Tamandua tetradactyla: one gene and its partners. The protein of the gene in region 3 interacts with the protein of the main gene of each other region in a pairwise test. Links are inferred from orthologs where the notes say so. Each region holds a gene or a part of one and is shown on either strand. Other genes may lie near its edges. The genes, in order: AKAP12, MYBPC1 and FHL1.

The links.
Region 1: the proteins of FHL1 (region 3) and AKAP12 interact in binary tests that used the Homo sapiens proteins (3 or more experiments, as listed by UniProt). The link is inferred for Tamandua tetradactyla from reciprocal best matches to the Homo sapiens genes FHL1 and AKAP12.
Region 2: the proteins of FHL1 (region 3) and MYBPC1 interact in a two-hybrid assay, tested with the Homo sapiens proteins (2 studies listed by BioGRID and IntAct). The link is inferred for Tamandua tetradactyla from reciprocal best matches to the Homo sapiens genes FHL1 and MYBPC1.

Annotation. Positions count from the first base shown.
Region 1 is NC_135328.1:142,874,373-142,884,069, forward strand, and holds the start of AKAP12 (A-kinase anchor protein 12), read left to right. Parts: upstream 1-5,013; 5' UTR 5,014-5,265; intron 5,266-5,602; 5' UTR 5,603-5,749; coding exon 5,750-5,878; intron 5,879-9,697. UniProt on the Homo sapiens protein: Anchoring protein that mediates the subcellular compartmentation of protein kinase A (PKA) and protein kinase C (PKC).
Region 2 is NC_135333.1:171,586,234-171,596,829, reverse strand, and holds the start of MYBPC1 (myosin-binding protein C, slow-type), read right to left. Parts: upstream 4,562-10,596; 5' UTR 4,334-4,561; coding exon 4,309-4,333; intron 1-4,308. UniProt on the Homo sapiens protein: Thick filament-associated protein located in the crossbridge region of vertebrate striated muscle a bands. Slow skeletal protein that binds to both myosin and actin.
Region 3 is NC_135353.1:23,316,154-23,326,696, reverse strand, and holds the start of FHL1 (four and a half LIM domains protein 1), read left to right. Parts: upstream 1-6,317; 5' UTR 6,318-6,427; coding exon 6,428-6,449; intron 6,450-10,543.

The DNA of each region.
Region 1 (9,697 bases), on a different chromosome or scaffold from region 3:
GGGAAAGCCCCCTATAACTGTTGATAAAGGCAACAATATGGATGAATCTCAAAATAATAATATTGCATTAAAAGAAGCTAGACAAAGAAGAGCATATATGAATGACTTCATTTATATAAAATTGTAGAAAATGCAAAGTAATCTATAATGACAGAAAACAGAACAGCGTTTCCCAGTGCTTGCCTGGGATGGCAGGGTGGGGCGGGCAGGAGGAGAGAGGGGGATTATAAGGGCACATGGGGAGACTTTTTGGGGTTCATGAAAATGTTTAGGATCTTGATTGTGGCAATGGCCTCAAGGAGCATACTCTGTCAAAACTCATCAAATTGTACGCTTTAGATATGTGCAGTTGCTTTTAGGTCAAGTAGACCTCCAGAAAATTTTTTAAAAATATTCTAAGGGACTATTGGTATCCTCTAAATGTGGAATTTCTTCTGTAAAATATTGCTTGAGAAACTGGGTATTATTTTTGCTATCAAGTTGTTTTACCCAGGAAAGAAAATAAAACCACCAAATAACCATAATTTCACATTCTGAAACAACCCTTGTTTCAAATTCTCCCTAAGAAAGTAAAATTCACCTATTTCACTCAGAGAATTCCATAGAAGTCTCTAGAGTGCAATAACATTAAAAACAACACACCCAATCCGTTCCACTTTCAAACCAAAGTTTTCATTGATTTGGGAGCTTAAGCAGTGGCAGACATCGGAGTCTCTTTCATGTGATTAATTATGTTCCCAATGAAGTTGTAATGAAGTAATGTGTTGAGAGGAGAGAGGGAAGGAGAAAGATGTCCAGTTTCACTATTGACTTCCTATTATTTATTCTGACTTACCACAGCGATCCCTCCTATAGATACTGTGATAGTGTATTTGTAGGAATGTCAAGAAATCATTAAAAATGAAAAAAAAAAAAAAACAGCAGCTAATAGAAATGAGGGCAGTCCCAAGGAATGCAAAAGTTCCCCAGTCTTAGGTAGGAGGTCTGTAAAATGGGATAAAATAATCGCTCTCTCTTGTGTAAGATTTTACTGACCCTTCTTCAGGTTAAGCACTGATCCTTTCATTGGATTCTTAATCACACATGAAATATATGAAAGCAATTTTTGATGTCAAAGACAGCAAATAGCAGATCTGAGATTTAAAATTCACAAAAAGATTCAAGTTAGTAAAGGAACATAAAAGTTCTCCATAATTTACAATGCATGTCTTTTTTTGGACAAGTAATGTTGACTTATGTAACCAAAGTTTCAGCTTTGAAAAATTCCAAGTATTTTCCCTGACAGTTAACTCAATAAAAGTTTGTTGAAAAAAATATTATTAAAATATTGAGAAATTTGTTGTATACTTGCAGGACTCTTCAAAGAATTTATGAAGGGATTTGAAACTGTGCAGATTATGAGAATTTGATCTACACTGCGGTGTCATTAACTTCCAGACACCTCTAAGTGCCTTCCCAAAATCATCCTAAGAGAGTCTCTCTCCATATTGGGCAAATTAGTTACTATATCTTGGTTCTTGTCATACGTAGATGGAAAGCAGCCCAACTAGAGAAAAACAAGGAGCCAAAGGTATGCTGGTTTATTGGTCACTGTATTTCACTTGTATTTATCTCTATTTACTTTGTTTAGGTGCATCTTGAGCAAAGGATGTGTTCAAGCTGCAGCCATACCCAATTATTTTTCTGTGAATAATTGCTCCTATAATGGCTTCCATGGTGCCTGAAAAATACAGATGAAAAAATTGACTTTCTCTCTACTCCCCTCCTCTTTTTCCCATTACTTTAGAGGAATCTTGGATTTGAGTCAGGAGCCAATCTTAAGTATTGGTAAATGAAAGTGATATACAAATAGTAGGCTTTGTATTTAACCACAAAACAATGATTTTCTGTCTCTCTCTAAATATATATATATATATATATAGTCAGAGAGACAGACAGATGACTTTCACCTGTAAATTGAACTTTCAGTGGTTTGTTCCCATATAAATGCTGAGATTATTATTTACTCGAATGCAGAAATTTGTTAATTCTTTCAGTTTTTTTTAGTTTATAATTAACAAATAAAAGAGAGAAGAGTATGAGTTGGGTTCTTAGATGACTGGATAGTGTCATAAAAATAATTGGCACAGGAGGAGTAAGCTTTTTATATAGGGAAAACAAAGAAGTGATAAGTGGGCGTTCGAGGGTGAAAGCTGGCAGTTCTAAGTGAAATTGCCTAGTAGAGAATGAATCTGCCAGGCAGAGTTGTGTGGCTTTTAAATTCTGTTTTATTCATTACAGTTATTATTGCTCTTTAAAGAGGGGTGTGTTAACCCAGCTGTGAAATGTTTCACATGTGTGAATTCCTTTAATGCTATATTTGAAAATGTTTTGGTATGTGCACGAGACACCCAGGCATGACTCGGAGTTTTACTGGTAAATCTCATGTGGTCTGTATTTCTGGAGAAGTTAGCATGAGAAGCACAAGTTCAGCCTGCTTTACAGGCAATGCGTGTTTGTTTTTGAGAAATCTCAAACTGTTTTTGTGAGTGTGCTAACCCTCTCAGGGAAACGGGCTCCACCACCAACTGCCCCGTGGGGAAAGACACGTCACGGCACCTGCATCCTGCTGTTTGGAGGAGAAAGACAGGGCTGCAGGTGCAAAATGGGGTAACCAAGAGCTTTGGACTGAGAAGAGTCAAACAGAGCAGGTGTTTTCCCCTATATCACGGACCCCAATCTGAACAATTCCGAAGGCATCTCTTGACCCTAAAAATAAAACTTGGTAATGTCATATAGCGCCTTGATCCAGAAGGCAGTAACTTTGTGCTTAGTATATAATAGGCACTCAATAAATGCACGCTGGAAGAATGAATTGAACAAGCTTTTTAACGTTCTAAAGCATTAAGCATATTCGAAAGATTGGGATGTCTCATTACTAGGGATAATAATATAAGCACGTTTCTCAACAAAATAAACTCATCCAGAAAATCCCCTTTGAACCCCAGTGTTCATATAGCATTATTCACAGTTGTCAAAAAGTAGAAGCAACCCAAGTGTCGTTGACAGATCGAGCTTAAGTGGCACATCCATACAATGGAATATTATTTGGCCTGAAAAAGGGATGAAGTTCTGATACTTGCAACAACATGGATGAACCTGGAAGACTTGTTGAATGAAATAAACCAGACAGAAAAAGACAAATATTGTATGATCTCATTTACATGAAATATCTACAATAGGCAAATTCATAGAGACAGAAAGTAGTTTATAGGTTTCCAGGGGCTGCTGGGGCTGGGGGCTGGGGAAAATGTTTGGGTTGAAAAAGTTTTAGTAATGGATGGTGGTGATAGTAGCACAATATCTTGAATGCAATTAATACCACTGAATTATACACATGATAGCGGTTAAAATAGGAAATTTTGTGTTGCTTGTTACCACAATAACCATTAAAAAAAAAAAAAGTAACTTCACAGTCTACAAATAAGATGAGAAGCAGTCTTTGGTCAGCCCCCAAACCAAAGGCAGTATGTGTGTGGTTGTGTCAATCTATGAAAAAAGCCTGCTATTCTTAATAGTCCCTTAATCAAGAAGCTCTTTCAGGCCGAATACAGAATAGGAGAATGTGCATGTTTTTTAAACTAATATTTTGCTTTTTAAAAGTCAGAATATGAGTTTTTTTTCCCCCCCTCATCCTGGAATGGAGACACAAAGCAAGCAGTTGCTAATCTAAACAGACCTGCAGTGTCTCCTGCAGCATGGGGGTGGGATAAGATCGCTTGAAATCTTTTTGACCTTGGAATACTTTCTGAAAATTTAAAGGCTAGTAGATGTGAAAAGCGTTGTTAAGAATTTCCCAAGAACTGAATAAATACTATCTCACAGGACGGGAAAATTTTGATAGCATTTGTGCTACTTACTGATACATTCTCCTATGTGCTGATATTCATTGTTCTCAAATAGGCTTTCACAGCCTTTTTAGTGCTTGCCATCCTAAATGAGATCGGAAGACCTCTCCTTGCTAGCATCCCTGGGCAGGAGACAGAGAACACATTTGAAAGCTGCTTATGGAGGGGGAATGAAGTATTGTGCAGTGGTTAAGGGTGAGCTTTGAAGTCAGAGACCTGCGTGGACTCTGATCTCCCATCGGTAGCTGTGGGATTTTGAGCACATGCCATCATTTCTCTGGGCCTCTGTTTCCTATTTCCTCATTGGTAAATTGAGAATAATATGTTCACTTCATTGGGTTTTTGTAAGGAATAAAGGTGGCTTATATGCAAAGTGCTTTGAACAGTTGCTAGGACAGAATAAGCACTCAAATATTTACAGAACAGTCACAATTTTAGTAAAAATGGGTGAAATGCTTATAAATCCCCAAGACCAAGCATTTTGCAAATATATTGTTTCCTAAGTGATCAATTCCACATAAACTGGCATTTGTGTACCCCTTCAAATAAGAACAATTAATTCAGAAAACAAATTTTATGCTGGTTAAATAGTTGATAATGATCCCCAAAGTGTCATTAAAATACCTGCAAATAATCAGGCACAAAATAGCCCGATGCTGAACTGCCCCTTACATCAGTGGTCTACTGTAGTTGTACACTTTTGGAATATTGGCACTAGACACCAAATAAATATCCTATATTCCAAAAGTCTTAATTTTTAATGCATGATTTTATTGGTGAAAACGAAGGCATTCAGTTGCCAGTGAGAACTGGGATAATTTTTGTCTGTCAGCCCCACTACTCCATGCTTATATGCCAAATATTCCAGCCTAAAAATTTCATTGAGTTCAAATATTTAGGGACTGTTAGCTATGTTCATATAATAAATATTAAACTCAGGAGTCTGAAGAGGGAAAAATAAGCCTCATCCGTGGAGAACTACCGATGGTATCGAACAGAATTTTGCCAGTCACGTCTCAGTATCATCTGATGGAACAGTGGCCTGGAGGGGTGATTTCAGCCTCGGGCGCTGGGAGGCTGGGCGCTTTTGCGGTGATAGCCTCACTCCCTACATTCCCCCAGGAAGGAGGGCGGCTGTGCTGTTCACCGGCTCGGCTGCTTCACTCGTTCTGGACGGTGGGAGAGTGTGGGCCGCTTGGCCCACCCCGCCGTGGCTTGCCTCCATCAACCCCCTCCGTTCCTTTCGCCGGCCCTAATATGGTCCGACTCCGGAGGAACAAGGAGTGCTAGCCTTTCTCCTGCTGATGAGGAAGAGGCAGGTACAAAACCCAATCTGAAGGAAAGCAAATGAGGATTTGGCCTCGCTTCTGAGAGATTTGTAAGTCCGCCGCAACAGAAGCCCCCCGCCTTGGGTGATCCATCATTTAACAGAAGCCACCGAACCCAGTGTACCCGGAGGCTTTCTACGTTCCCCCTTTCTTGCTTTTCCCTCCCCTTCTGCAACACTTGTGTCTTGGCAGCCCCTGTCCCTTTTCGCGACTCGAGGCGTCCCGGGGTCGGGCGGGCTGCGCCCCGGATCCTGGCAGCCGGGGTGGGGAGATGCTGCGGCTGCAGGGCGTGGCTGGGCTGTGCTCATGTGACAGGCCAGGGGAAAACAAGGGGCGGAGTGGAGGAGGCAAAGAGGTGGCTCTTTTTTTTTTCTTTTTTCTTTTAAGGAGTTTGCGGGAGCGCGTCGGCCTCATTCGCTGCGCAGCTCGTCGGGAGAGGAAGGCGGGAGAGAAGGCGCGTCTGGGTGCGGGTTCCTGCGTCCCGGCACTTTGGGAAGGCGCGCAGCAGTCGGCGCGGAGAGCCGCGGGAGAGCCATGGGCGCAGGCAGCTCCACGGAGCAGCGCAGCCCGGAGCAGCCCGAGGCGGGGGTCGAGACGCCGGCCGAGCCCGAGCCCAGCGCGCTCGCGGACTCCGCGGTCGCTGCTGCAGATACCGCCACTAAGGTACGAGACCCGGCCACCTGCTGGGTGGCGGAGGGGGGAGGGGTCCCTCGTGGTGCCACGCACGACAACTTGGCGGTCCGACCAACTTGATTTCAGACTCGTGAGCACCGACCCCTAAATGGGCTTTTCGGGTCCCCCGCGCTGGGGTGGGACCGAACAGCAGCGCGCGCGGTGGGGGTTGGCGCCTTTGTCGTGGGTCTCCAGGGAAGGCGACTGCGCCATCCGTAGTGACAGAGTGCGCCCCGTGTCCCTCCCTCGCCCTGCTCCACTCTCCCGCTAAGACAGACGAGCCACGAGTGCATCCGTGGAGATCGACCCAGGCTGGGCATCTTGAGCCCCTACTCCTTCTCAGATGCCAAAATGAGCAGGTGGCCTGGCCCTGGGCTGGACCTGGCGACGGGCCCCACCCTGCTCCTCCCTCGTGCTGCCCTTGACAGCATCTGCGTCTGGAGCGCAGGGAGTCGTACCCTGTCCTCCTGCGCCATCTACGCCCGAAGCGCTCTGGGCTGCCCCGGCTGGGTACCGGGTTCTTCTGCAGTAGCCGCGCCCTGAATATCCCGGGTCCGCACTGGATCCCGCCTGGCGTCGGTACCCAGCCCTGCGGCATCTGCGCCTAAACACCCGGTGTGGGTCCTCGGTTCTCCTGCGGCAGCCGCGCGAGCAGACACCGCCTCCCTGTTGCGGAGAAGAACGGGCGGTGCAGCACGTTCGGGGCCAGACAACCTGGGCAGATGCTCGGTTTCTAGAAGGAATAACAGGTTTTGCAAACAAGGCAGCGCCCTCCCTCTCCCTCGGGTCGTTGCCTGTGGACTCAATTGGATAAACAAATACTGGAATACTAGTTGGAAGTTGTCAGAGGAAGTGGTCAGGGGCGTTAGCAGGCATTCTCTGTATTTCTTATGGAGGCTGAGCTGAACCTCGGATGCCCCAGAAATACTGCTATTAGTTTTAAGTCTCCGCCCGCCGAGATTGTGACTTGGCCTGGTGTCTGTGTTTCAGATCGATTTTCCAGCGCATGCGTTTACTAACAAGGTTTCATCCCCACCGGTTTTGGGATATCCTTATAGGAAGATGTACACGACCATATCTAATGTAAAAACCCTGTGTCCAATTTAAGGACTGAAACTACTTGAGGGCCTTCAGGAGTTATCTCAGGGGGTGTAGATGTTTACAAAGTGAAAAAATACCGAAGTCTAGGTAAATGTCATGGAATTCTGCCTTCATTGTCTTGTCCCCTTTGGCTGTCCTAGTCTACTTTAGGCTGAAAATCTGCTCTTCATCCCTTGGTTTACCTCGTTAACTCATAACTGCTTTGTGAAATCCATGGCCCCTAGAGGGGTAGATACTAATATGAACTAACTGTGCATGGGATATGTAGATTTTCTAAGAGGTGCCAGAGCTTTGGGCCTAAGGAAAGCACTGTTCTTTTGGTGACTAAATGATGTCTTCATATTGTTGTACATCACTTTTGATGCCAGCTTCTGTCAAAATGGCTGCATAACCAGTGTTTAAATTCCAGTGGGGAAGGTAATTTTAAGCTTCATTTTCAGATTGGGAAGCACTTTTCTTTTGAGCTTTTATTATCCCTTTGGATTTTCTTAATTGTTCACCCTGGAACTTGGTTCTTAATCTCTTCCCAATAAACTTGGATTCTTCTGTTTTAAATACTCCTTCCATTCCCTTCTCTTTGTCCTCCTTTAGTGCTCTTTCTTCTCCCTCTTTCTTAGTCACTGACATCCTGAAATAGTCAGTGACATCTTTAAAATTATTCTAGTGACATCCAGAATAGCATTGAACTTGGTTGGCATACTGCCCAGTTATCAATTTGGAGCCAAATCAATACACTTACATATATCCTTGGAATATGTGCAGGTTTTCATTTCAACTTGCAGAATTTATTACTTAGGTTTTGAAGACCTGTGTTTTCTCAGAAGGGCGCCCCAATTAAGAATGACTCAGCCTCCCTTCTAGCCCCTGTGAAACTCCATCTCCTGACTTCTGAATAGTCACACCTGTCCCTTTGGGCTCTCATGGCGCCTTGGGAGTGATCCCAGTTACTGGTTTGATAACTGGACCGGGAAGTGTTCCACCACTCTTCTGGGACAGCTACCACGAAGCCAGGGGCCACATCTGGCTTTGCTCACAACAGGTGTGCCCCTGGGTAGCAAGCTGCTGGTATGTTGTAGTTTCTCAGTAAATATCTGTGGAAAGAAGAAGAGGATGGCGTTTTAACTTCCTAGGCTGCTCCAGCAAATACCATGTAATGAGTGGCTTAAACAAAGGGAATGTATTAGCTTACAGTTTTGAGGCTGGGAAAATGTCCAGCATTAAGACAGTGTTTCTTCCCAAAGAACAGTGCTGATAATCCTTGGCTGGTCTGCCACAGGGCAAGGCACATGGAGGTGTCTACGGGTCCCCCTTCTCTTCTGGGTTTCCATGCTTTCAGATTCTTGCTTTCTGTGGCTTTTTTCCTCTGTCTGACTTTCATTCTCTTGTAAAAGACTCCAGTAAAAGGATTAAGACCCATTCTGATGGAGGTGGGCCCCACCTTAACTGAAGTAGCCTTATCAGAAGGTCCTATGACAATGGGTGCACACCCACAGGAATGGATTCACTTTAAGATGTTTTGCTGGGGTACATACGATAATGACTCAGTTTTGATTGGAGACTAGCAAAATGGGGAACATTTTGGCTATCTCCTTTTTTACAATTTTTAATCTTTGACCACCCCACTATCATACTCAACCTCTAGATCAGGTACATTTTTTGACAAAAATAGCCAAATTTGGGGACTTAGGTTTCTGTTTTCTCTAGCAGTTCTGTGGCTTGTTAGGGTTGCAATTTCGGATTGCCTTTAATCTCAAATAGACAAAGATAAGATATTAAATTCAAGTAGTTCAAATGAGACTACTTCATATATTGAATTTGGTTAGAAATTGCATCTTGAGCTTTCTTGTTTGGATCTCTGGGCAGGGTTGGCTCTAGGGAGGTTTGGCTAATAGATTAATTTTTCCTCCCTGGATAGAATGCTTATCACAATTTAAGGGTGTTCAAATTTTTTTCTGCCTATGTTATGTTTATATTATAAATACAGCAATCCAGTTAACTTTCCTTTTTTTTTTTTACTGCTAATTATAGTTATCAGTTATATACTAGTAAATAAGGTCTCCACATCAGAAGAGAAGCCACACTAATTGTCTTATCACTCTCAATTAGAATTTAACTTTCAATGGAGAGTTAAACTTTTTTTTGTTTGTTTGCTTGTTTGCATGGGCAGGCGCCGGAACCGAACTCAGGTCTCCGACATGGCAGGCGAATACTCTGCCTGCTTGGCCGCTGGAGAGTTAAACTTTTGATTACTCAATCTTAACATTTAGATGTACTGAGACAGAAGTCTCGGATAAGTCTCAGCTATTGTCTCTTATCTATTGTAACATATTTCAATAAAACAGAAGGAGTTTATCTTCCAGGCATTCTTTTACATTCTTTATGTGTAAATTCTGGGGAACACTGCTTGTTCAAATATGCTAGGTTTAAATTTGAGTCTGGGCCATTTTGGACACTTTAGGAAGCAGAAGATTATACCTGGACACAAGTGGTAAATAAAGCCTCACATTATTATTCCTCAATGGTCTCTCTCTCTCTCTTTTTTTTTTTTTTTAACTTCTTGAAATGAATCTTAGTTTGTTTCAAGAATTGAAAATCTTAGATCACCAGAACATATTAAAACCTATGGCCCTAAAAATCGGCTGTATATCAACTAATCAGAATATTTATAATGTGTATTAAGGTACATGAAGCTATAACTGCGTATGTTTT
Region 2 (10,596 bases), on a different chromosome or scaffold from region 3:
GCAAGGATACATCTTGTCTTCCAAAGGTTTTTTAAGGCGATATATTTAGGACGCTTGAGAGGAAAGAATTGGCCAGTCCTTTATTTATCTTCCTAACAGGTGCAGTACGGGCAGTCATAAAAGCAGGTCACTGAAAAGGAGTGACACGGCCAAGCGCTGAGCCCTCCAGGGTGCACTTGCCCAGCGCAGTCCTCACACCAGGGCGCTCACATTTATGCCATAAAGTTCCCAAAGAGCACGGCGATGCTTTTCCCAGGCACGTATAGAAGTACAACGGTATAGCGGTGTTCACACACACGCACATACATGTACATATAGTGGCATCCATGCATACATTTTCTTCCTCACCCAAATCCTCCACTAGGCCTAAATGGAGCTAGGAGGAGAACAGTTGCCCTTGAGAAAATAAAACCTCTGCCATCCTCCCCCATTCTATTCCCCAACTCCAAACAAACTGTTAGCATTTCCTCAATTTGGCATGAAAGTGATATTCTCTATAAAAGAAAACTGTTCTGAAGACAAATTAATGCTGGCGCTTGGGACCGGCGGTGGGTGTGGCGCAGGTGGGACGCGGGGGCGGGGAGGGACCCCAGGCAGGCCGCCCCCCCCCGCCCCCCGCCCCCCGCGGGGCCCTTCTCTGCCCATGACTCAGCCTCCAGGCGAAAGGTAGTGGCGGCCGCTCCGCCTTCGCACGGGTTCCGGGCCTCGCGGGAGGGGGGCGTGAGGTCGATCCCCGCCCACCAAGAAGGAAAGATATAGAAAGGGGGGAAGCCCCCATGGCCGGAAAGAAACCGTTCTCGATGGCCCCCTCCCGCCTATCCGCGCTGGAAAAGACCTAAGGCGGCGAGGAGAAGACGGTGGATGCCGCCCTCCGGGGCAGCAGGCGCCTCCCGCTAGAACACCAGGGCTGTGATTTCTGGAATGAGCCGAGAGCCCCTCAAAACTCATGGTCATAAATGAGCCCACGCTTTGCCACCGTTTTGAATTTTCAGGAAGGAATCTTACATGGAAGATGAGGAAAGGACGCTGACTCTGCCAGGGTGGTTTGGATGGCCCATAGGCACCAATTTTTTTTGCCTTCTCCCTACGAGTTTAATACATAAAATGCAACAGGGCCTGGTATATCACAGAACAAAAAGTGAAATTCATGTCAGCTCAGGGTTTTAGAAGAAAAATGCTCTGGGTTCTGTAGTATGTGACAATTCACGATTGTCTAAGTATTTTCAAGAACTGGGTTTTACAGTTTTAATCCCCATATACTGCAGAGAGAAAAATTCTGAGAAAATCCTTTTTTAAAAAAATGCATTGCAGAGCATTTGCATGGCTCTGCAATGCATTTTTTAACAATTAGCGATTTTAAACGATTTTAAACGATTAGCGATTCTACCGCAGAAGGAAATCGATTGCAATTTTTAAATTTCACTTTGATAAGATTACTTTTTGACAGGAAAAGAGGAATTTCGAGCAGAAGGTGCCTCCTTTATGTGGCAGAGCCCAGGGACAATGGAGCCGGAGGGCTTCAGGGAGAGGCGGTGCTGGCTGCATCTTCGAAGCCCCACGGCCAGCGCGTTGGTTGCTCAATTAACAGTTGATGCATAAACGAAGCATCAGTAAGGCGCTCTGGGAGATTCCCACAGTGCAGCTTCCCCCCGGACCCTCTTCTCTCACACCATTTGATTGGACTAACTTAAATTGACCAGGCCTCAGGTCTGCATGAATTCCAAGTATAAGATAAGCCTGTTTTTCTTTCTGGAACTGACAGTACAAATCACAGTTTTCCGAAGAATAACTACACGATTGAGGAAGGCGGAGAGGAGGGGGATGGAAAGGGGCTGGTCCCTAAAAACAACATTTTTTTTTCCTCCAGGAGATGTTACTGGGATTCCCAAAATATTTCCAAGAGCCTTAGAAAGGGCTGGTGACTAATTGTTAGGCTTTATCCTGGAGGACCAAAATGGTGCCTGTCCTTCCTCCCCCCTTAGAGGGAGCAGCACTCCCAAGACCCAACGCAAAGCTCCTAGAACTAGAGCACTGTAGGCCGGCAGTCTGCCCACCTTCACCTTCAGGGATGAAAACCCAGCCTCTTTTGAGAAGTTGCCAGGTGCTTCTGGTTTCTGCAGGTCATTTCAAATGACCCTGAAGGACTGGTCTGGTGGCTTGTCTTATTCTTGGGGCTGGGTTTTGAAGGATGCTTCTAAAGACCAAAACCAATCCCAGTGAAAAGTCACAGCAAGGGCCAGGAGAGTCAACTCCATATTGCCATATTCCTTACTCTTCTCATGGAAACAACAGCAAAATGCAATTTCATCAGGAAATGTCTTCAAAGTTTTATTCCTTCATGAATTACTTATTCTGGTAAGGCAACAAAAATCCCTGCACTTTCTCAAAGAAATTTAAATATATCAGTATATATATATTTACCCCTACTCCCCACCATCCAAATTTAAACTAATGAAAGAATCTATGGGTATAAAATTACTGTCCTTGGGTGGGAGTGGGGGGACAAGGGGGGAAAAGGGACTCGTACACAGTGTGTCAACCGTGCTATTATAGCAAAGAAGGTAATAGAGACTGGTATCCATGTCAATTTATCCAAAAGGAAAAGAAATATATATTGGGGACCCAAAGTTAAAGGTATATATTTCACTTTGTAGCTCTAAAATGTCATTCTTTCTAAAAGTAGAATGGATCAGATTCAAGCGTCAGGCAAAAGTAAAACTTCATAGCATCTAGCAGTGAGAATAATTCAATTAGCTTTATAGGCTCCACAGCCTGTCACCTTTTTATTAGGTCTTCAGCTTTCTTGTCATTTTCAATTGGGCTTTAAAATGACAAATGCAGAATCGTCCACTAAATTCAGGATAACTGAAACAATAGTGTGTCCCTTGGTGAGGAAACAGAGTTCATTGCACCCAAACCAAGTAAGTCTTAAAGAGGCTAGTCAAGTGACAGATCAAATGAGACGGACACTTGGATAGATAAGTAAATCATTTGCATTGCAAATAAGGCACTTCAGCAGGGGCTGGAGTCGGGATTAAGTCCCCCTATTAATGCCCACATTTGGTGCGGTTATTTTGGGTAGAAGACTTCATCTGCCAGTGGCCTCGGCCGCTAAGTAAAGCCAATGTGTAAACCGATCACCATAGCCTGTCAACACTGGTTACTTAATTCCATAAAGAAAATACACTAAAAAGGCTTTTGATAATTTGGTTACTGTTTCAAATTTGAGCTCAGTGTGTAGCATCTTTGTCAATGATCTTCAAAATAATGGCTAGAAATAATTTTTGAAGATCAAAAACAAAGCTGAAACACTAAATACTACTTTCACGTCCTCTGTTCATCTTTGTGTGTGCTTTCAGTTGCAGGAATGAAAAATAAAAGCTCAGAGAATACTAATGAAAACTAATGAGAATAAAATGACATTGCTTTAAGATATTTCCATTCGAAAAAACGCTTAATATACTTGTGCTATTAATTTGGGATTTCCATTAGTAATTTTAGTAACGACTAATTCTAATTTATTTGTTAGTTTTAAAATACCATTCAAATCTTTTTCTTATAGAAAGGAGAAACTTTTTTATTGGAGGAAATATTCTTCTAATGAAGACTATGTCCATGTTTTATACATAATTATTTTTAAAAGTTTACATATTATGAAATTATCTTCAGAAAACTTCTGAAAGAACATAATTTATCAGTGATATCCAGAAGTATTCTCTTTTACCCACCCAGCTGTTTGATTTTCTTCCCAGGCAAGTATTTAATAACCGAAGCTCTAAAAACACTGACAAAAGCAAAAAAAATCATGCATCTGTATGTTTTAAATGTCTTTCCATGAAAAAATACAACAAATCCTGAAATATTGTCACAAATTCCTTTATGAAATCTTGATCAAATTTATTAAACATGTAAGGAAACTTTCCAAGTTCCCTCCCCAACATTGCAAACACATGGTGAAAATTTTCTGATTGAACCTCAGAAAATTTGCTTTAAAATGCAACCTGCTCACTGTTGTCAATTAACATCCTGAAATTACACTTTAAGGATCCCTTGAGATTGAATGATAAAATTCTAATTTGATAATTTTTGTCAGTATCCCTGCATAAAATATAATTAGATAAACTTTTTTAGTTGCTTACACTCTTCCTATGTATTTCCTCTGTCCTTTTTACTCTAAAGGAACTTTTCTTTAAATCAGTGGATTGACATTATATATTCTGTCTAAAAACAATGGATGTTGGTTCAAAAACAACAAATAAACAAACTTTATTAAAAAGTACAACAAAAAGATTTACGGATGAGTCTTACCCTCTTTCGCAGTGGGCTCTGGCATGGCCACAAGTAAATGTTATTTTCCAAAGCGTTTTCTCCCCTGCAGTGCTAGTTGACAGAAACCCCACGAGCGGCGGAGAGATGGTGTTGGTCAGGGTGACAAGCAGTGGGGGGCAAACCCCGGGCTTTTATCCTGCCTCGGGATGTCAATCACGTTGGCACCTCCCCTCCTGCAGAGGGAAGATGCTGGGGCTTTATGGCCACGAGGACTTTTCCCACATCTGTTGTCTGCGCTCTGCTCTCATGCCTACTGGAAGGAATCTCCTGTCCATCTCATGTGGCTGATGCGAGCACCTCTGACTTTCTAAATTCAGCTGCAGCCTCGTGCTCCTCTTGTTCCTCTCTTTCTGCCTGACGCGTGCATATGCCGGCTCAGGAGGGCAAAAAGCTTGCTCGGTGGTAAACATTAAAGCAAATCAGATATCACACAGGTGGGTCCATTCCTAAAACGCGAATAAATTATAAAACTTGGATGCTCAAGTAGTATTTGTCAAAATATTTATCCCCTTTATATGGTAGCCAGAATACCTAAGTGATCTTTAATTGACATGGGTTCTTGATTGAAAAATTAAATTTGCTTGTAACTAGGCTATTTCTGAAAACTTGACCAAAATAATTTACACTGGAAAACCAGAAAATAGGAAAAAAGATGCTGGGAAAATATTTGCGATATATAGGACAAAAAAAATGCAGTCATAAAAGAAAAATGCAGTCATATCTTGATACATAAAATGTTGGTTAGAAAAAAGAACATTAAACGACACTAAGCTGGCATAAAGCACAGATGAGAGTATCTGAATGTTTGTACATGTGAATAATATATAAATATGAATATTAAGTAGTATGTAGAATGTTTTAAAAACATTTAATTTCAGAATTTATCATAAAAACAAAAGAAATGACACTATATACACACATACACACTCATATACATGTAAGTACATATTTTACCAGTCTCAGCAAAGACCGAGGAAGTGGTCAAAACAGGAAAAATGAAATGAGTGGGGCAGTCTTTTTAGATTGTTAGTGAGAGCTTAGCTTGATATAAATTTCTTGCTTGTCAATTGGCAATACTTACCAAGAGTTTTTGATCCAGTTAATTCCACTTCTGTATTGTAACCTAAGGAAACAATTGGTAATTGAGAAAAACAGATTTTCAAAGATGATTATCAGATTGAATACTATGGTAGCAAAATAGAAACAATCTAAATATGTAGGCATAGAGGCATCATTAAGTTAATGATGGTACTTTTATGAAACCAATAAACACAAAGAATAAATATCCTTTTATTAAAAAAAACTAAAGTAAATTACAAATCAGGATATGCTAAATCAACATATACCTTAATTCTGCTAAGATTAGAAAGTAAAAAATATCTTTCAGATAATTTTTATGCTCTCATTAGCTCTTCATCTTTATCGGGTCTTAATTATTGGATTTTATTTTTGAACTTTATTATATTTACATCTTATTTTTTATTAATATGTCAAGTGCCAAGTCAAATTTCCACATTGAATATGTTGTCTTATTTTCTCCTCCAAACATAGTGAAGGTTTCTATTATGGAATACTACGCATTTACCTTTTATCAAGACATGTCCTTTAAAAAACTAGCAGGGGGTGTCTGGGTGCGCGTGAGCCGAGCTGGTGCGAGGGGGTTGGTGCTGGGAGGCTGCCTGTGAAGGGTCCCGCCCTGAGGGGATCTGCAGTACAGGATTCATGCTGAGTGGCGTGGGGTCCGCGTCGCGCTCGGGTAGAGGGTCACGTGGTGTTCTGTATCCTCAAGGGCGGCTTCTCTGGTTTGGTGGCGACCCCGGCAGGGTAACGACCGAAACTTGTGCGGAGGGTGCTTGCTGATTTATCGGAATAGCCAAGGATTTTGTTTCAAATTGCGCCATTTTAAGGCGTCCCCTTAGAGTCAGATGCCTCCTCAGGTCTTGCACTTTCAGGAGCCTTTGGGACCATCTCGGGACGCGCTGGCTTTCTTCACCGCTTGGATTTGTACTTCCTGCAAGAAACTGAAGACTCAGTATAGGTGAAGACGTTGTGCCAAGCAAGTTTCTGTTGGCCGGCAGGAAAGGATTTTGAGGAAAAGGCATGGGAATTTGAGAAGAGGAAAGGGGACGTAGGGTCAGGCGATCTGGGAAACTGCTCCCTCTGATGAATCAATTCAGTAAACACGCTATTCACACTTTGAAGAGTCGTAGCGAACTGCATGTTCTCAGTGAGTTTTAGTATGCAGAGCCGGCGTTATGTTTTTCCTAAATTCTGTAACTTACGTGCCACGGATCCTGCTTTCCTGCTAGCTCGTCATATTTCACTGTGTGATCCCCGCCAGCCACTAGAAGGGTTGAGCACAATTCTTCGGCATAGCTTAAGCCCTATTTGGTTTTGATTTTAAAGTTTGTGGACTGTGATTGTGGGCTACTCTATAGTTGGGTGCAAAAGTATATAACGTATTCAGGCGAGAAGAACAGGCAAAGTCGAAGATGAAATCACGAAATAGCTTGCAAACAAGAACAAAATTTCTAAGAGTACCTGCCCTTCAAGTCAGTAACTTCACTTTATTTGGCTTTAAGATACTTTTCCTTCACGAAGAATTGTGCTTGCAAACTAGAAGCACCAAAACTAAATAAAAGAGGAAGATCAACGCGGTCAGATTGCAGCTAGCGGAGGAGTCGGGTTGTGTTGGCTAATTCTTCCTCCAGAACAGCTACTAGGGGAGTAGAAATGATACAGAACAGCTCCTGGAGCCAAACAGAGATCAAAAAGACAGCGTGCCCCATTCTGGAATGGCTGACTGGCTGGGAGAACCCGCTCCGGTGAGATCGCCGAGGGGCGCGGGCTTCCCCGGGCCGGAGCGGCAGGCGGCCGGAGGCCCTCCCTCCCTCCTTCCCGGGCCGGCTGGGAGAATTGGGCAGGCGGTCCCCTCAAGCCGCAGCGGCTGGCACCCCCCCCCACGCGCGGCCCCCTGGACCAACTGGGAGAATTGAATCGGAGATCCCCAGGCCGCGGAGAATGGTGACCGGGGTCCCTTCCAAACACGTGGCTTCCTGGTCCGGCTGGGAACGGTGCACTCCCCCGGGCTGCGGGAGCTGGCGCCCTCCCGTCATGCTTGGCGCCCCGGGCCGGCTAGGAGATTCGGACGGGCGCTCTCCTGGGCTGGGGCGGCCGGCAACCCTCCCCGCGTTTGGATCCCCGGGCTGGCTGGGAGATTGGGATTGGCACTCTTCCAAGCTGCTTCGGCTGGCGAACCTTCCCCACGGCGAGAGTTTTCCAAAGCTAAAGGACCCACAGCACCTTTTACTGGTGGGACACGCAGACAAACGAGTGCCACGAGCGCCACCTACTGGGCAGGATAAGAAAAACAGAACCCAGAGATTTCACAGAAAAATCTTTCAACCTGTTGGGTCCAACACCCAGGGAAATCTGACTAAATGCCCAGACGCCAGCAGAAGATAACGGATCATGCTCAGAAAATTGAAAATATGACCCAGTCAAAGGAACAAACCAATAGTTCAAATGAGATACAGGAGCTGAGACAACTAATGCTGAATATACGAACAGAAATGGAAAACCTCTTCAAAAACGAAATCGATAAATTGAGGGAGGACATGAAGAAGACATGGGTTGAACAAAAAGAAAAAATAGAAAAACTGAAAAAACAAATCACAGAACTTATGGAAGTGAAGGACAAAGTAGAAAAGATGGAAAAAACAATGGATACCTACAATGATAGATTTAAAGAGACAGAAGATAGAATTAGTGATTTGGAGGATGGAACATCCGAAGTCCAAAAACAAACAGAAACTATAGGGAAAAGAATGGAAAAATTTGAACAGGGGATCAGGGAACTGAAGGACAATTTGAACGGCACAAATATACGTGTTGTGGGTGTCCCAGAAGGAGAAGAGAAGGGAAAAGGAGGAGAAAAACTAATGGAAGAAATTATCACTGAAAATTTCCCAACTCTTATGAAAGACCTAAAATTACAGATCCAAGAAGTGCAGCGCACCCCAAAGAGAATAGACCCAAATAGGCGTTCTCCAAGACACTTACGAGTTAGAATGTCAGAGGTCAAAGAGAAAGAGAGGATCTTGAAAGCAGCAAGAGAAAAACAATCCATCACATACAAGGGAAACCCAATAAGACTATGTGTAGATTTCTCAGCAGAAACCATGGAAGCTAGAAGACAGTGGGATGATATATTTAAATTACTAAAAGAGAAAAACTGCCAACAAAGACTTCTATATCCAGCAAAATTGTCATTCAAAAATGAGGGAGAAATTAAAACATTCTCAGACAAAAAGTCATTGAGAGAATTTGTGACTAAGAGACCAGCTCTGCAAGAAATATTAAAGGGAGCACTAGAGTCAGATACGAAAAGACAGAAGAGAGAGGTATGGAGAGGAGTGTAGAAAGAAGGAAAATCAGATATGATGTACATAATACAAAAGGCAAAATGGTAGAGGAAAATATTATCCAAACATTAATAACACTAAATGTTAATGGACTGAATTCCCCAATCAAAAGACATAGACTGGCAGAATGGATTGAAAAACAGGATCCTTCTGTATGCTGTCTACAGGAAACACATCTTAGACCCAAAGATAAACATAGGTTGAAAGTGAAAGGTTGGGAAAAGATATTTCATGCAAATAACAACCAGAAAAGAGCAGGAGTGGCTATACTAATATCCCACAAATTAGACTTCAAATGTAAAACAGTTAAAAGAGACAAAGAAGGACACTATCTACTAATAAAAGGAACAATTAAACAAGAAGACATAACAATCATAAATATTTATGCACCGAACTGAATGCCCCTAAATATGTGAGGAATACACTGCAAACACTGAAAAGGGAAATAGACACATATACCGTAATAGTTGGAGACTTCAATTCACCACTCTCATCAATGGACAGAACATCTAGACAGAGGATCAATAAAGAAATAGAGAATCTGAATATTACTATAAAGGAGCTAGACTTAATAGACATTTATAGGACATTACATCCCACAACAGCAGGATACACCTTTTTCTCAAGTGCTCATGGATCATTCTCAAAGATAGACCATATGCTGGGTCACAAAGCAAGTCTTAACAAATTTAAAAAGATTGAAATCATACACAACACTTTCTCGGATCAAAAAGGAATGAAGTTAGAAATCAATAATAGGCGGAGGGCCAGAAAATTCACAAATATGTGGAGGCTCAACAACACACTCTTAAACAACGAGTGGGTCAAAGAAGAAATTGCAAGAGAAATTAGTAAATACCTCGAGGCAAATGAAAACGAAAACACAACATATCAAAACTTATGGGACGCAGCAAAGGCAGTGCTAAGAGGGAAATTTATTGCCCTAAATGCCTATATCAGAAAAGAAGAAAAGGCAAAAATGCAGGAATTAACTGTCCACTTGGAAGAACTGGAGAAAAAACAGCAAACTAATCCCAAAGCAAGCAAAAGGAAAGAAATAACAAAGATTAGAGCAGAAATAAATGAAATTGAAAACATGAAAACAATAGAGAAAATCAATAAGACCAGAAGTTGGTTCCATGAGAAAATCAATAAGATTGATGGGCCCTTAGCAAGATTGACAAAAAGAAGAAGAGAGAGGATGCAAATAAATAAGATCAGAAATGGAAGAGGAGACATAACTACTGACCGCACAGAAATAAAGGAGGTAATAACAGGATACTATGAACAACTTTACGCTAATAAATACAACAATTTAGATGAAATGGACGGGTTCCTGGAAAGACATGAACAACCAACTTTGACTCAAGAAGAAATAGATGACCCCAACAAACCAATCACAAGTAAAGAAATTGAATTAGTCATTCAAAAGCTTCCTAAAAAGAAAAGTCCAGGACCAGACGGCTTCACATGTGAATTCTATCAAACATTCCAGAAAGAATTAGTACCAACTCTCCTCAAACTCTTCAAAAAAATCGAAGTGGAGGGAAAACTATCTAATTCATTCTATGAAGCCAACATCACCCTCATACCAAAACCAGGCAAAGATATTACAAAAAAAGAAAACTACAGACCAATCTCTCTAATGAATATAGATGCAAAAATCCTCAATAAAATTCTAGCAAATCGAATCCAGCAACACATTACAAGAATTTTACATCATGACCAAGTAGGATTCATCCCAGGTATGCAAGGATGGTTCAACATAAGAAAATAAATTAATGTAATACACCATATCTACAAATCAAAGCAGAAAAATCATATGATCATTTCAATTGATGCA
Region 3 (10,543 bases):
TGAGAAAGATTTATCCCTACCAGCGTCTCCATTTCATGAAACATGCATTTTCACTGGAGCTGAGATTTTGTATTTGTATTATGTATTATATTTCCTTCTAAAACCTTCTGATTTCTGTTTCTTTTCTTCTATTACTTTCCCTTGCATTGTCTCTTTAAAGTGCCACTTTAAAAAAAAAAATAGGAGTGTAGTCACATTAGAGAAAGGGGCAGACTTTGGGGGCCAGAGACGTTAATTGTTACTAATCATGGAATGGCATTTCCAAAAATCAAATGTCAGAGTCCGTAGCGCATGGTTAAATTCTTAATCTGTGAGTGAATATTATAAGGAGAACTTCTAAGCTTACCTGGTCAATTGTGAAAATGAACATGTTTTCAGTGGAGTTACTATTTTCAGGGTGCTTTGCTCTTTTCAGGGTCTTATAGTTCCAGTATCTTATCTCATTTGGAACAGGGTCCCCCCTTTTTCATAGCCACCTTTTCCTTTGCTCTGCAATCCAGAGACCCTCTGGGAAAGAAGTCCAGGTTTATTTTCATTGGAATTTAGCATGATGAACTCACTACTCGTGGATTTGGGGGTGCTTCCCCATGTTATTGTTTAAATTTGTATGCCACGAATTGTGACATTTAAGCAGTGACTTTGCACAATTTGACTTGTCAGGAGGAAAAAGTACACTTCCCACCCTAAAGATTGACAGGAACATGAGATGGTTGAAGTTGTACTGGACTTTTTCTGGCAAGAGCACTTAGGACTAGAAATACTCTGGAGTGCTCAACATTGAATCACATCATATCATAGTGCATGACTAGGTGCCTTAATCTTGCAGTTGGAGTCAGTAGAAATTGTTGGCTGAGGGACTAGTAGCCCAACAAAATGATATTGAGAGAAAACTTGCAGCATATTAATTTATTAGTAATAGGCCTGAGGAGAAGAAGAATACTCTAAAAAAAATGAAGTTGAAATCGCTGATAAATCCACAAGACCCCAGATTGTTCTCATCCTTTTGTCTCTAGCCATGACTAATGGCCAGTAATCATCTCAGTAAGATTTCAACCATTTGGAAATTTCTTCAGTGAAAGAAAACTGTAACAAAGGGGGAGAAGGGCGACCAGAAGCCAAGCTGTGTACGAGGAACTCCTGAGATGTGGGCCAAGTGGGTCACTGAATTTGCTGTGTTTGAGTCTTAGGTTGCGCCACTTTGAATTTTTGAAGTCTGATCCTCCCAGTGGTGGTTTTGAGATAAAGAGTCGAGGATTGCATTGTATGATGAGAATCTCCACCAGTATAATTTCACTGCAACCTTACTGTTATCCCTGTTTCTCTCTCTGCTTGACAATTCAGGTTCCATTAAAGGTGGGGCATGGGAGTTAGTTATCGATGTATCAGAAGAACTTCATTATAAAGCCACAAATGAAGGTCCATATTCCCTACACCAGCTCTGCCTCCCAAATTCCCCATTATTTTCCTGGTCAGCCAGAATAAAAATCTCGGGACTCTTCAGCTCCTTCTTCTCCTATCCATCTAATCAGCCCTAGCATATCTGATGAAATTCCCTTCTAAGCTGCCTTCTTGCTTCCAGACTCTCCTCCTCCATACACCCTTCTTGTCCTTGCTTGCTTGCATTAGTCTTATCGCATTCTTCCCATGTGCTGATTTCACAAAGGCCCTCCGTGCACAGTCTTTCCCTTCCTTTCTAGCTGCTTCTTTATCCTATGTTTCTACCCCAACTAGACTGCATGCTGCTCTGTGAGCAGACCTATGTTCTTCTCCATACCTTGTTCTTAGAATGCCCACTGTCCCCCTTCTGTATGTTTTAAGTCTTAACCCATTGTTAAGGACCGGATCAAATGCCATCACATCCATGAAGTCTTTTCTGAACCCCCAAACTTGATATGATCTCTCCCTCTGATAAATTTAAATATATATTTTTTATTGATAAATCTTCACAAACATACATTCCATACATGGTATACAATCAGGGGCTCACAGCATCATCACATAGTTGTGTATTCATCACTATGATCATTTTTAGAACATTTGTATCACTCAAGAAAAAGAAATTAAAAAAAGAAGACCATACATCCCATACCCCTTACCTCTCCCTCTCATTGACCACTAGTATTGCAATCTACCCAATGTTTTGTACCCCTTATCCCCCCTATTATTTATGTTTTATCCATATTTTTTTACTCATCTGTCTATACCCTGGATAAAAGGAGCATCACACACAAGGTTTTTACAATCACATATTCACATTGTAAAAGCTATATCTTTATACAGTCATCTTCAAAAATCAAGGCTACTGGAACACAGCTCTACATTTTCAGGCATTTCCCTCCAGCCTCTCCATTACTTCTTAACTAACAAGGTGATATCTACTTAATGCGTAAGAATAACCTCCAGGATAACCTCTCGACTCTGTTTGAAATCTCTCAGCCACTGAAACTTTATTTTGTCTCATTCCTCTCTTCCCCCTTTTGGTCAAGAAGACTCTATCAATCCCATGATGCCTGTCCTGGTGAATCCTAGGAGTTCTGTCTCACACTGCTAGGGAGATTTACACCCCTGGGAACCATGTCCCACGTAGAGGAGGATGGCAGTGAGTTCACTTGCCATGTGGGTTTAAAGAGAGAGAGGCCACAACTGAGCAACAAAAGAGGTTCTCCGGAAGTGATTCTTTGGCCTAATTTTTTTTAATTAATTTTTAAATTTCTTTTAAAAAAACAACAGCAAACAGATGCACACACAAACGTTATTAACTTATGATCATTCTGTTCTACATTTATAATCAGTAATTCACAGTATCACCACATAGTTGCATATTCATCATCATGATAATTTCTTAGAACATTTGCATCGATTCAGAAAAAGAAAACAGAAAAAAATTCATACATACCATACCCTTTACACCTCCCTTTCATTGATCACTAGCATTTCAATCTAAATTTATTTTAACATTTGTTCCTCCTATTATTTATTTTTATTCCATATGTTTTACTCGTCTGTTGATTAGGTAGATAAAAGGAACATCAGACACAAGGTTTTCAAAATCACACAGTCATATTGTGAAAGCTATATCATTATACAATCATCTTCAAGAAACATGGCTAGTGGAACACAGCTCTACATTTTCAGGCAGTTCCCTCCACCCTCTTCATTACATCTTGAATAACAAGGTGATGTCTATTTAATGCGTAAGAATAACCTCCAGGATAACCTCTGGACTCTGTCTGGAATCTCTCAGCCATTGACACTTTATTTTGTCTCATTTCACTCTTCCCCCTTTTCGTCGAGAAGGTTTTCTCAGTTCCTTGATGCTGAGTCCCAGCTCATTCTAAGATTTCTGTCCCACGTTGCCAGGAAGGTCCACACCCCTGGGAGTCATGTCCCACGTAGTCCGGGGGAGGGTAGTGAGTTTGCTTGTCTTACGCCTAATTTTAAGTAGGCTTAGCCTATCCTTTGCAAGAATAAGTTTCATAGGGGTGAACCCCAAGATCCTCCCTCTAATAAATCTTGACCACTCTCTATATCAATCAGCTTTAAAGGAAGCACTGTGCCTTATTCTTTGTGACCAGCAAAATATCTTCCACACAGTAGATCATCTTTGTTCAATAAATGTTTGTCATCTAAAAGAAATAAATGGGTGGGGTGCCCTCATCTTCAGGGGGACCCCAAATATCTGCCACTGCAGAGTATTCAGACAGCAAGAATGTGTAGATAAACTCTGAAGTAAATGGGAACTTAGAGTTTTGGATGCTTAGCACTCACTAAAAATCATGATTATGCTAGGGTGTAAGGGCCTTAGAAAGCCTGAAATGGGGTCTTCAAACACAGAAGAGAATTATTCATCAAACACCAGCCAGCTCCCAGCAATAGTATATAAAAGTGCTTTGCAAACAGTACGGTGATTATTAAGGATATTATTAAATATCAGGCTGTTAATGTGTAACGAAGTTGGCTCTGATGTTAATGAAACCAGTGACTGTTCAGGTTTTTACTATCAACTAAATAGCCACTGACATTTCTGAACCACTGATCCAAGTCAGGACAAGAGTTATCAACTGTTCTGACTAAGAAATTGTTTTTAAAGTTGCAAAGGCAACAACACAAAGGCTTGTGGTCGTTGACTCATTAATAGCCCAGAAAGTAATTCTCTGGTAGCAGCGTTTCAGAGACTTTATCTGCTACCTTTACAGGGTTTACCCATAGTCTACGGTTGCTACTGCACTTGCTAAAAGAAAACACATCCTGATGCATAACTGGAAAGTAGAATTGACTACTTAAAAGAAAGTAACTTGGCACACTAAGCTTATTGTTCATGGTGAGCTACAGCGGGGGCATTTAAAAATACCTTGACTCTGCCTAAAAATAAACCTCACTAAAATCTAAAACGTAGGGTTCATGAAGGTTAATCATCTAATAAAATAAGAGCATTTCCACTAGGTGAAAAGTTTAAGTTTATTTTCAGGGTGTGGTATTGGTAAAACTGGCCAATCTCCCTGCTGTAATTTAACCAGCCTGGATAAGAGACTAGTAAAACTTTGGGGGAGTGGGCGGTGGGAGGGAACAACCGTGCCACTTCCCTTCTTTTCCCAGGCTTACTTTTTGACCTCAACGTGTAAGAACTTTGCCTGGAGCGTCTTGACTTTTATTGTCAGGTCGCTCTCCAGCTGACCAGGAGTTACCGACAACTTCGATAACTTCAGCTCTCTTTTAGAATAACTTTTCAGGAAACCTTTGAAGTGCCTGAGATTTATGCGCGTCCTTCACACATTTATTCCTGAAGTACTTATGATTCACCTACTGTAGGGCTGTGGGAAGACCCAGACAGGTAAAACCCAGCCTCAGCCCTCAGCTGGGGAGGTAGGGAAGATTATAAATAGGGCCAAAGCAGTGACATGCGCTATTAAACAAAACACAGTGTCTGTAAAAGGGGGTTGAGTCCAGGGTCTGTCCCGGAGTGAAGGGATTCGCCACCTTCCTCGAAGCTCAGCCACCAGAGCTACTTTCAGGATTTTAGGTGGGACTCTGCTTGGCCAAATGAACAGTTTTGCTTCTCTGAAGTCATTTTTTCAGCAGATTACGGAGGACCTCCTGGTTGTGGGGCAATATTTCCAGTGAATGCCCCCCACCAAACCCCTGCCCTCGTGGACCGGAGAGGAGAATCGGACAATGAGCAAGAGAAAAAAGTGCAGTTCTCTGTTCAGTTAGATTATCCTCCGTACTGTGGGGAATATCAAGTTGGGGGGGGGGGGGGTGCCAGAGAGAGTGTGTGGTGAGTTGAAATAGGCTGGGCAAAGAAGGCGCCATTGAAAAAGGGATTTGGGGCAAAGCTTTGGAGGAGGTAGAGGAGCAGCCACGACATGCTCTGGGCTGAGGGAAACAGTATTGGGATCCCAAGGCTGGGCGGCATGTGTGGAGAGTGCAGGGGACAGCAAGGATGCCCATGAGGTTGCAGCAAAAGAAACTAGGGCAAGGGAGGCAGGGGTGAGGCCAGAGAAGCCACGGAGGTGGGGAATGGGAGATGAGTGGCATGAAGGGACTTTATCATAAGGATATCCTAAGGACTTTGGCTTCTCTGGAACTGGTTCTTGATGACCAGTTTCCAGCCAGCTGATGGCTTGTCGAGCTGTTACAATATGTGAGGTTGCCGGGCCATTTTCATTTCCATTCATATAATCAGTTTCATTGTTCCTGACAGTGAGAAGGAGGAGGTTTTGTTTGTGGGACAAAGCATTGTCACTGTGTCTAAGGCAGGTGCGATGCAGGCCTTCTAGTCTGTTCCATTCTGTTCAATTCTGTCAGATGCGCAGGAGATTTTAGGGTGGCTAGAACTGCTCCCCTTTTCAAGAGGGGCTCTCTGGCACATGCCAAGAGGGATATAGAGTTAAGCATCTGCAATGCCCTCAGTCTCTATATTCATAATGTCGAATCCCCTTTAAATATGCTGGTAACAAGAATCTTTTTAGTTACTTTTTTTTCTAATTAACAACACAAAAGTGAATTATTTATAGGGCCAAATGCAAGCTCTTTAGGCATATAAAGTGGAATAATAAGGTTGGCTCGGTGTTAGGCTATGCCAGAGCCGAGTCCAAATTTTATTCCAGTACAGGGATGGCTTTTTATGTGGCCTCTCTGACTCTGGAGCTAATTTGGATGCTGAGTAGCCCTGCAGGTATTTATATGTAGTGTTTGGTATTTTTACTGGGTCCTATTCTTCTCCCTTGGATCACCTAAAATGGTTAAGAATTTTCTAGTGGGATTAAGGTTGTACTCTCCCGGGAGGGGTGGGACATCTGCTCTCGGTTATTTTTGTGTTAGCCGCTGCCCCTTAAATGTATGTTCACGAATGAGCCAGAGCCTTATCAGCTGGGGTGGAGAGAAGACTGGTCAGGTGCTGCTCCTGAGTGAACTTGGTCTCTGAGCAATGGCTTCCCATAGACACTCAGGTAAAAACATCAATATTCTTTGCCTTAAACCAAGCACAACTCTTTTAGGGCAGTGAATGCACCATTTGGCTTAAAGGTAATTTGGGCTTAAATGATTTTCGTCTTGTCTGAACAGTAAATAAGGCACAGCTTGTCTCTGTTTTGTCTTTACCTTCCAGTGCTATTTTGAAGACAGACGACTCCTCTTATTCAAGCAAACTTAGCAACTTCAGTGGTTTTTTTTAAAAAAGTATATAAGCCTCTTAATATGTGTTTTACCTTTTTCAGGACGTCTTACGAAGCTATAAGAGATAGTGTGAAGAGAGAAGGTTTGGGGGGTTAGGAATTTGGGGTTATTTATAAAACACGACCCTTCATCTTGACATTGCTTTAGATCTAATTTAAGTTGTTTGGAAGAGTTGAATAGAACATGGAGGTGGCAGGGGGGAATGTTTATATCTCAGTGTCCGTAACTTATGACTTGCTGCATCTTCCCGAAGAAACAGCTACGGACCCTGCAATAGGAGAAGTTTGTTATTGGTTGTTCTCAGAAAGAGAAGGCGACGTTTCGAACGTCCTAGGTCACGTCACCATGGGTCTTCCCCTTGTTTAGTAACCTGACTTGAAGAGAGCCCTCTGGCCATAGACAAGAAGTCCCTGGAAGAGGGGGCCGGAAGAGGGGGAGTTTTCCGGGAAAGCCCAGTTCTCTTGAAGTCAGCCTGCTGCCTGTCTCTCCCCAAAGCAGGAATGTTGCCGTTGCTTTGTTGCCTTCTGCCTGAGCAACGGTTCCCTTCCTTTGAACTGGGCAAGGATGACAAGTTCAGTAGAAACCAAGCCCTTCGTCCCTTCCCGAAGTTTTCACATCAAAGGGCAAAGTAAGCATTAGGAGGGTGGGGTGGGGCAGCATTTTGGACATGTTATTTTTGAAAATTGGTGATTGCCTGCCAATTTTTCAACTCTTTGGGAAATGGCTCTTTTTGGTGGGTCAAAGCAAGGAGGCTGCAGTGGAATTCTCCACTTGAGTTGCATTCATGTGCAAGATCTTCGTTGTTCCCAGGTGTTCCAAAGCTGGCTGGGTTTTTTTCACCCCTCCCCACTCCCCCAAGAAGCTGCTTTACAAGCAGTGCTGCATGCCTGAGATTGTGGTTATCAGCCAACTTACACATTCTCGGGGTGTAGGCAAACTGTTCAGCTGGACCATTTGTTCTAATGTACCTTGAGTGCATGATACATAGTGGAGCACCTCCCCACTTTATTTACTAAGTGGCAGAATAGGAAAATATAGTTAAAAGGTGACATATTTATAGCACATGCAATCCTGGGTTTTAAATTGCACCAAGTCCTCATGTTATTCCTGCTTATATAAATCTAGAGGCTGTAACTTAGCTGCATTAGACAAATAATTTATACCGTGTACATGCTTTTTTTAAATCAGGAAATGTCTGTTTGTATTGCATTAAGTGCATAGGTCCACGAAAGCAGACAAGAGAGGAAGAAAATCACCCGAAGAAAATCAGTGTTGCCCTGAAGTGGGCTTTCTATGGACAAAATACAAACTCAGATAATTGGATCGAAATCTATTTTTTCTCATCCATCCACATACTGAGAGAAAAATTCAAGAATAAACCTTTATACTTTTATTATGGAACACTGCCGATCTGCAAAATTATGGAAATTCAATTTCTTTGCCTTTTGGCCTTTGAAGTTGAGGAATGGGGTTGGGGGGGGGAATAAGATCGTTTGCCATATTCATCCAGTCATTAGTTCCCTTTACCAGTGCTGCCCAGTGGGGTCACACACCTGTCTGTCTTTTCTCAGGGCGAGGATGGAAAATGCAAGGTCGGGGTGAGAGGGCAGTAATCTAACCAGATCAGCTTCCTAAAATAACTGAAAACATGGTCGTCAGAAGATCTGGTCAAGGGTGAAACTGAAAGTTTTGTACTTGTAATGACCACCAAATGACCACCTGTCACTTCAGCACAACTAGAGAAACAAAAAACACATGTTCTCTTGCTTCTGGGTCCCAGGGGCCTTTTCTTCCCATGTGAAAGACAGAACATTTTGCATCTATACTATGCGTGTGCAACATTAAGAAAAGTTTCATATGCGGATAACATAGTACTAGAATAGATCCTGGCCTGGTAGAAGTTCAGTTGGTATGTGATTTCTAGTTTCACTATCTATATCCAGCTGTCCTGATAGCAGCTAAAATCTGAAACAGTGTTACTTATGTATATCAGTAACGTAGAAGAGATGTATGGTTTGCTTGTGTGGTTGGTTTTTTTGCTCAGTGCAATGTACAAGTGAACTTGCTGATAACACTGAATCATTTTGCACATGTTCTGTTTTTAAGGGAAAAAACACTTTCAGATTTTCTCTGAAATTCTGTGGGAGACTACTCTTCAGCCGTGACGCATGAACTCCACCTCATTGCAGCTATTTAGGTGTTATTCCCAAATGTCTGACGACACCTCCAGGTGCATTAGGCTGTCTACTACACAAGTGTCCTATTCATCAGCTAATGCTTCGTTCCATTTGTTGAATGTTCTCAGGAAAGCAGTATACCCCTTCTTTAGTAGCCAATGTTTATACATGGAGTGACTAATGTACTGGTATGTTGGACTTAGCAATTAACAGATTAGAAAGAATCTGAAACTTTTTTTTTTCCATTTGGGTTGCTGTTCATTGTTTACAGTGTACATTATAGCACTGAGAGAAAGCACATAGTTAGAAAAATACCACCCTAGACATACTATTCACATTTTCCTGAAATATTCTTATTTTGAGCTACTTGGGCAAGAGGGAAGAAAACTGAACATTTGCAAGCAATACATGAGAAACGTACACATAAAAGCACAAGGAAGACTTACTAAATACAACTTGAATTTTCTCTGATGAGAGGTTTATGGTGAAAAGCAACAAAAACAACAAAAAACGTTGCAATGTTATATTACTCCTATGTGTACGTGATTAAGTTGAGGGCCAGAACTTTTTATTGAGATACTGAGGATGATTTAAGCATCACTTAGTATGCTGGATGTTGCTCAGGAATTTTCTGAAAGGAAAAGCTTGTTTATTAAGTGAGGAATGATGTGTCTTTTGCAGCAGACATAGAGAGAAAGTCAGGCTACCATCTTAGAATAAATAATATAAATGTGATCACCCAGTCACACTTCTAACTGTATTCTAACTTACTAAGTTTATAAAGGATGGTAGGTTAGGTTCACATGAGCTGTCCCTGATTTTCTAAAACAGAAATCTTTGTTACAAACGGTATTGAATAAAAGAAGCTATAGAAGCCTAATGGTGGTGACTTCTTTTTACCTGTCAATCAACCGGCTCTGAGTGTATTTGTAGAATTTTCTGTGATAGAGAAACTTCTCTACTGTGTACAGATGAGGGCCACTAGGTGACTTAAAATGAGTTAGAGAGCTGCCTCAGGGCAGACATAGCTTCCACAAAGACAGGCAGTGAAGGGAAGTAGCCTTGTAATTACACTTATCCACTGTTTTGTTTCATGATTGATGACGTGCCCTCTTCCAGATAACAGCAACAGGTCAACGCAGACATATCTGGGAGTTTGGGAAGGTTAAAAGGCTTCATATTTCAGGGACTTAGAAATTGCTAAGGGATAAAGCAATTATTATTCCCTAAAAGACAAATGCCTAACTATATGTAATTCAGTAAAATTAAAGAGAGCCTAAGAGAAGAGGCAAAATGCTACTGTCATTTTTTCTCTATCCTTTTATTATTTCTAACAGAAGGAAACAGAGGAAAGTGCCAAGATTTTCTCTCTGCATGAAATCAAGGCCTAAACGTGGCTCATACTCTTTATCAAGCAAAGCCTACAAATCAGGATATTTGCTGTCTTTCAGGAACCTCTTAACCTCTGCCCTTCTCAGCTTTCTCATTTATGAACCATTTTCTTAGAGTTGTTAACCTCTTCAAAAATAAGTGGTAGCAAAATATTTTTGGTCTTGTGCACAAGCATCCGTATTTTATGCCTGGTATTGCCATGGTAACCATGTGTTCAGTAAGAATGTGTTACTCCAGCCTCATCCTAAGCACACCGCGTGAAGGTTTGAAATAGTTTTGGACTAAAGAATCAACAAAGT